2 linked regions of the Caenorhabditis elegans genome follow. The protein of the gene in region 1 purifies or fractionates together with the protein of each later gene. This does not show direct contact. Each region holds a gene or a part of one and is shown on either strand. Other genes may lie near its edges. The genes, in order: unc-85 and Y62H9A.3.

The links.
Region 2: the proteins of unc-85 (region 1) and Y62H9A.3 fractionate together in Caenorhabditis elegans (co-fractionation; one large-scale study listed by BioGRID). This does not show direct contact.

The regions. Positions count from the first base shown.
Region 1 is NC_003280.10:4,700,170-4,704,052, forward strand, and holds unc-85 (putative histone chaperone asf-1), read left to right. Parts: upstream 1-1,899; coding exon 1,900-2,011; intron 2,012-2,060; coding exon 2,061-2,527; intron 2,528-2,575; coding exon 2,576-2,726; intron 2,727-2,795; coding exon 2,796-2,893; 3' UTR 2,894-3,050; downstream 3,051-3,883. Other genes in the region: scc-1 (Sister chromatid cohesion protein 1), read left to right, coding at 1-148, 194-628; F10G7.9 (C3H1-type domain-containing protein), read right to left, coding at 3,315-3,457, 3,588-3,682, 3,731-3,862. UniProt on the Caenorhabditis elegans protein: Histone chaperone that facilitates histone deposition and histone exchange and removal during nucleosome assembly and disassembly.
Region 2 is NC_003284.9:11,878,311-11,881,824, reverse strand, and holds Y62H9A.3 (putative secreted effector protein), read left to right. Parts: upstream 1-1,853; 5' UTR 1,854-1,880; coding exon 1,881-1,940; intron 1,941-1,987; coding exon 1,988-2,237; intron 2,238-2,282; coding exon 2,283-2,337; intron 2,338-2,382; coding exon 2,383-2,662; 3' UTR 2,663-2,715; downstream 2,716-3,514. Other genes in the region: Y62H9A.4 (DUF4362 domain-containing protein), read right to left, coding at 653-746, 800-991, 1,331-1,683.

The sequences.
Region 1 (3,883 bases):
TGAATTCTTTAATGATGTGCGCATGGATGATGATGATGACAGACAACCAGCTCAGGAAATGGACTTTGGTGACAACTTCGATTTTCCACAAGAAGTAGAACATCAAGAGTGTGCTCCGATCCCTATCCAGAGTGGATTCGCTGGAGAGGTAATTTTTGGTGCGAATTTCAACTCTTAAAATATTATTTTACAGAACAAAGAGAACGAGGACGCAGAGGATTGGTCTGATCCGTTCGGTTCTTCAAATTCCAGCAGACGTGGCCAGCTTGAAGCCTATGGATTCGGAAATACTTCGACCTACAAGGAAGACGATGGCAAATGGGCGAAACGCGCCAAGCACATTCTAAAGAAAGTCTCCGCGGATATTGAGACTTCGGGACAAGCGGACTTCTCATCTGTCACAGCAACTGCCAAGAATCGCAAGCAAGCTGCAGAGCAATTTTATTCGTTGCTTACCCTGGCCAAGTCTCAAGCAATAAGTGTTGATCAATCAGAGCCATACGGAGAGATCGTAATTCGTCCAGGAGCCAATTTCAAAGAAGCATGTCCACTGAGCTCTCCGAAACCGATGGGACTTGGAAATACAATGGAAAATTCCACTATGAGAACCCCAATGAGACCAGTTTAATCGTTTTAGCTTATTATTATTACTCGCCATGCATAGTTTAACCTCTTCATTGTATATGGTATCTCGATTTTCTTAAAAGCAAGTATTATTTTTATTCCACGATTATTCATATACGGATATTATTTTTGCGGTATTATTTGTTCGAAAAGTACGAATGTACTATCTTTTTCTGTAAATAAAAAGCATCACGGTTTTAATGTTCTTGTTAATTGCTCAGGTTCCGATTAGTCGAGAGAAGAATAGCGAAAAAAAAAAGATTAACTCGGCTCTACTCAACTTCAACGTTTCCGTGTACAATTTCATTCATTCCATCTAGTTTCAAGTGATTTGAGATTCGCTTTCTTCGTATGAAAAAATGACTACATAATTATGAAACTTGGTGAATTTCATCTACAAACGCGTAAACGTTATTAAAAAAGCTGTTAAAATCTGGAAATTACATTTTTCCATAACTTTCAAGACAGGACACTCCGCTGCATTAGAAAATGTCTTCGAGACTAAATGTACGGATTTTACTAAATTTTGAGGCAATTCCGAATAATTTTTGCATTTCAGGCCCACCGTGAAACATTCACGAGGGTACGCGCAGAAAGAGAAACGCAGAGGGGGTACGTTTTCGTAAGGGGATTTTTTCGTAAGGAACGCTTTCAGTAGGGCAATGTGCGGCGCGCCTTTTCGCAAGCCCGCCGCACAGTCCTTCGCAATCGATTCGAAATCGATTGAAACCCGTTTTTGTCATCGAAAATTCTGAAAATATCCGTATTTAGCTCGAATAAAACTAATTAATTTCCATTAAAAATCCGTTTTTAATTGAATTCCGTTCGAAATTTCCTGTTGGAAAAATAAATAAATAAATACGAAGAAGCGTGCGGCGCATTGCAAAAAGCCGTGCGGCGCATTGCGAAGGACTGTGTGGCGGGCTTGCGAAAAGGCGCGCCGCACATTGCCCTACTGAAAGCGTTCCTTACGAAAAAATCCCCTTACGAAAACGTACCCCCTCGAAACGCAGAGAACAAAATGCAAGCGCGCTCCACCGGTACGCGCCAATCGCCACCATTTTAACTTACATAATTGCGGGAATTTTTGATTTCTCATTTTTTCTCATCATTTGCGGATTCATTTTTGCAATTTCATTTACCTAAAATTGATACACTTTTTGTTAAAAATGATTTTTTTTTCAGTTTTATTTTGTTTCATGCCAATACTGTTGTGAATTGTCTTTTATTTTGAAAAAGTGGGCTCCTAAATAATTAATTATATTTTTCTTTCAGATGGCTTCCCGTGTCAACATTGTTCAAGTACAAATTCTCGACAATCCTGCGATGTTTGTCGACAAATTCAAGTTGGAGATCACATTTGAAGTTTTTGAGCACTTGCCGCATGGTAAGAAAGAGGAAAATATAAACTCATCGATAATAATGATAATTTTCAGATCTCGAATGGGAATTGGTCTACGTCGGATCCGGAACATCCCGAGACTTTGACCAAGTTCTCGATTCAGCGCTCGTTGGTCCAATTCCAGAAGGACGCCACAAGTTTGTGTTCGACGCGGATCATCCGGATATCTCGAAGATCCCAGTCGATGATATCGTCGGTGTCAGCGTACTTCTCCTGCGCTGCAAGTACAACGATCAGGAGTTTATCAATATGGGATGGTTCGTGGCAAATGAGTACACCGAGGAAGAGCTCAAAGAGAATCCCCCATCGCAGCCACTCATCGAAAAGCTTTCCCGCAAAGTCGAAACTGAAGATCTTCGCATCACCACATTCCCGATTCGCTGGACTGATGAGGATCCGGTCGCAGAGCCTGTCGAGGATGAGGCTAACAGAGTATTCGCGGAAGATGACCTCATGCCTCTGAATGATGATGGCCAGGAAGATGACGATGAGGAGGAAGAGGTGAGAAAATGAATTTTACTTATTCAAAAATTAAATAATTTTATTCAGGATGATGACGAGATGGAGGCCAACGCTGAAGAAGTGGATTTGAACGAGAGCTTCAATGAACGATTGGCCAATGCACTTGACGGGGCCGAACAGAAAGGCGCAGATGAGAAAATGGAGGACGATGGAGCAAATGAGGATGTTGATATGGCTGGTAAGTGTTACTTGGTTTCTCTAACCCCTTCTTGTTTCGTGATGTGTGCTTCTCACCCTGTAATTATAGATGACGAGCCTGGCGTTCAGATCAACACTGACACGAAAGTTCCGGAATCGATGGCGGAGCCACTCTCAGACAAGACAAACAACGAAATGGTCCAGTGATTTCACTTCCAGTTAATTTATATATTTTGAACTTATTTTTATTCCCACCCGATTTTCAGTGACTGTCAAAAATTCACATAATTCGTTCTTTCATTTTTTTTCTTTTCAAGAATTTTCACTTTGAATGTTTTCCGAATAAAACTGTACAGTGTCATTCATTCAATGTTTTTCTTAAAACAAACAACTGAATTATATAAAACTGGTTTATTGTGATTGTACTATATATATAATACACCGGAGTAAAATAAACAGGCAAATTGATATGACAGTTTGAACGTCAGCTTGATTTGTAGAGATCACACCGTTTCAGTAAAGAAATTGATTTAAAAAGAAAATAACTGGAATTTTTAAAAATGTCTAGCGAGTTCTACTTTTGATTTTCCTCGATTTTTACTACATCCTATCCATTTTCTCGTCCGGTTCATCGCCGATTGGCGAAAAAAGCGAACAACTTGCTTTTGTATTCTGGTGTCTGACGAATGACCACATTGAAGAATTGATCCATTAGCTTTTCAAATTCTCGGAATTCCGGTAGAAAGTGCAATGTTTGTTTGACAGCCGGCTCTGAAACGGGCGAGGATTACGGTAGCTACGGGTGACCTGAAAAGTTAGATAATCCTCCAATGGGACGAGTGGGAATCAATGAAAGACACGGGGGGAAGTATAACAGAGAATAATCGGCGTGTAGAAGAACCTATGTCGGATTCGTTGTATTTAAAAGCTTCGCGGAATAGGCCTTCGAGAAGTTGTGCTTGTTGTTCAGCATCAGTAACGTCGTGAAGATGAAGACTGAAAAAACTTTTGTTTAATAAACAATTTAAAACTTGAATAACTTACTGTTTACAATCCCGTGGCCGCTCACATCTTCCATTAAGTTCGAACTTGCACATTTTGAGTAACAATGTACGACATTGTTCGGGACGATCAGGTATAGATGATGAGACCACTGACGTAACATCTGGACTATTTCTATAAAACATTAATTCATTA
Region 2 (3,514 bases), on another chromosome or scaffold:
CTACAAATTTTTCTATAAACTAGGGCTCCCATGCGGTCGCCGCGACGGCCTCACGGCGTCACCCACGCCGCATTTATAGTGAGGCGCGGACCTCCGAACGTGTCGACCGCTTGCAAACAACCACCTCTTCGCACTATGTTGCACACACACCAAGCTACTCATTTCACGCAATTTGTTGGCTTTTTGATATTTGCCAACAAATCTTTTATATGTAGTACAACGGTACCTCAATTATGAGAGGAGTCCAGTCAACAGAAATATCATAACTTGGTTCCATGGAAAAACTGCGGAAAACTAACATTTGCAAATTTGATGAGTTCACTTCCTCGTGAAAAAAACAATAGGACTTTTAGAGTGCATTCAGTAAATTGTTCTAAAGGAGCGGATGAAAAAAAAAACTGTCTTACATTCAATAAAGTACAAGTAAAACCCTTTTTAATCTAACGAATGCGAAAAGAATTATCGCACTACTTTTCTTCCATATTTGGATGATCATAGAATGAATTTCATTGTCTCATTGAAATTTAGTTAAAGTATTTTCTTTACATAATTATCCAAATTTGAACTTTTTTTTTGTTTCACATTCTGTAACAAATTTGACTTTAAACTTTATCAACCAAAAACTCGTAAAACATTTAAATAAACAGAATCATTAAAATCCTGTCAATGGTCTTGGTCCGGGAAGTTCAACGCATGTGACTTTTCGGATTGCTACTTCTCTGTCGTTGAATGATTTTCCAACAAAACTGAAATTTAGACTTTGAATATAAAAACAACAAGTTGACTTAATACGGCTCACTTTTTGTCGTCGCATTTCGCAACGTAGTCGAAATTATATCCCGATGCAAGGAGAATAGTGTCTTGAATGACGAATTCTGTCTCAAACTTGAAAGATGCGTCTGTTCCTTCCTTTTTTGCTACAAGGGCATATGGTTTTCCACTGTTTGGACAGGCGATAATGTTGTAGGTCTTCCCCTTACGCTCTACTGTTCTGTAAAAAAACAACTTTTTGAACCATTGGAAAATAATTTATAGTCAAAATGAAACAGAACAAAATTAGCCCGTGATATAATTAATTATACAAACTTTGCGAAAACTTTAGTTTTGCTCTCACATCACGAAACAATTGAACGAAAAAGTAAATGCAATATGTATATTTTTTCTATAACGAGTATTGAGAACGAAATATGTGAATGTTTCTATTTTGTCGGGTTTTATGTTTAAAACGTCTTATTTTCTCTAAAACTTTTTCCAACGTTGATCAGTTAGTTTCATTTTGCAAAAATATTCGAAAAAAAGCTAACTTATGGTATTTTTTGTGATAACTCACTTGATGTCAGCACGAGCGGTTCTGTGCTTATGAACAGAAAAGTGTTTGATTTCCTTGCATTGTTCATACTCATTTTGTTCATATACATTGTTTGGTGGTCTATACTCGTTTCCATTGGTACCGTAGTTCGTTGCAGGTGGTTGTGGCGCATATACACCTGGATATTCTGGGTAACGCTCATCTGAGTTCGATCTTGATTTTAATTCATTCTCAGAAGAATCCGATGAGTCAGAAGTAGAGTATCGATTGTTTGAATGATGTCCAGGATAGTGAGAAATTGTACCATAATCATTGTATTGGTTCGCAGATACGACGACCGCACATGCGATCACAGATAAAAAGAGAGCATACATAGTGAACAATTTCGCTGAATTGTGCGTCACCTCTACTTGATTTTATAGACGATTTTGTTGAATCGTCGACAAAGTTTAATCTGGAATATGGATCACATCACATCATACGTTTTCTAAACATATGATTCATGCGAAATCTAGACCAAATATAAAACGGTCCTCAACAGAGGAGAGCCATACATCGGTGCTCTGCCAAGATGAAATATTTTGTTTCGCTTGTATTACTTGCTGCTGTGGCTTCTGCAGAATACCAGATTGTGACATACTATTGCAATTTAAAGTATATTTATATTAATGATTACAGAACGAGAAGTCCTACTCAGGTGAAGTTGAAGTTGAAGACTACCCAAGACCAACAAAGAAACCAACGTACTCGGTGCCGGATCTAGGACCACTTCCACCAGCATCATACCCAGTTCCAAATTTCCCTAATAGTTGGCCGCTTCCGCCAGCTTCACGACTAGTTCCAATTCCACAAGAATATCCAGCTCCGTTCCCCCCAGGACCATATCCTGACTCAGAAAATGGGGGATCGTATCCACCACGCAACTATGGTGAGTTCTCAACTGTATTCTCATTTTAAAAGTTTAAACAATCAGAAGTCAAAAAATTGAAAGATCTTCGTGGTGAAAAAATTGTTGAAGCCCGTGTTAGGTGAGCAAATCCAAGTTGCAAGAAGAATTATACATTCAAATTTAGATACTACACATATGATAACACCCATTACGCCGTCATTTCATGCCCCAGAAATCCAACTCCAGGAGCATACACATGGATTTTGGTGGACTCGAAGAAAGAAATTCTACCATTTAATGTTCCTGGAACAGTAGCGTTGACAGGAGGTATCAACGTTGACTACTTAGCCAAATATGGAACTAAAGGCAAATGGGAAGGAAAAGATTTGACCAATGATAAGAAACACAGGTTCCGTCGAGTTGGATGCCTTCACGGAAATACTATGTCGTACATTCAACATTAAACTTTATCAGTTTAAACAATACATTATGAAGAAAAATAAATGTTAATTTGAGCTTTCAAAGAAAACCAATTAGTTTTGAACACAAACGGAAAAGTTAATGAAACGCTAATCGTTTCTCAAATACCCGGCGTTTAATTTTTGAAACTACTTAAAAGTACATTCCTAAGCCAAACAATAAAAGCGCATCTGTTTATACTTATAATGGAGTTGCTTTTCAAAAACAGACAGACTCTTTTCACTAAGATTCTTTTAACTTCAAGGCGCTTATTGATATTATGATCAACTAAAGGAATCAAATAATTTCATCAATTCCGTTCCGTCAGAAAACAAATAAGAAAGTTTCAGGAAATTCACCCAGATTTTTCAATAATATACGGTATTCTCCATGTGTCAATTTTATATTACATTTACAGAAAAATGGAACAATCTCCTAAAAACAATCATTTTTCACATTAAATATAGGGAGCCGGGAGGACAGAGCTATAAATTCTCAAGATGGAAATATTCATTTTCTATATACTATTTTCCACCGTTTCCCCACTCAATTTTCAATTTCTGTTGATATAATCTCCCAGTAAAAAAAACGAAAATTTTCATTTTTGAATTTCTAGCTTCATGAATAATTTATTTCAACAATCTCATTTTCAACAATGGGCTTCATTTTCTGTTTTCAATTATTAGTTGTCATAATGTTTATTTGTTTGCAAATTTGCTTTCAGTTAAACCAACCCTTCCGATTATGAAAGTGTCCCGTTGTAACTAATCTCATCCTTCAAAATAGATGTCTTTCCGGTAGTATCGGTTTTCTACTAACATAAGTTCATAAAAAATACAATTTATTTTGTTTCCTGG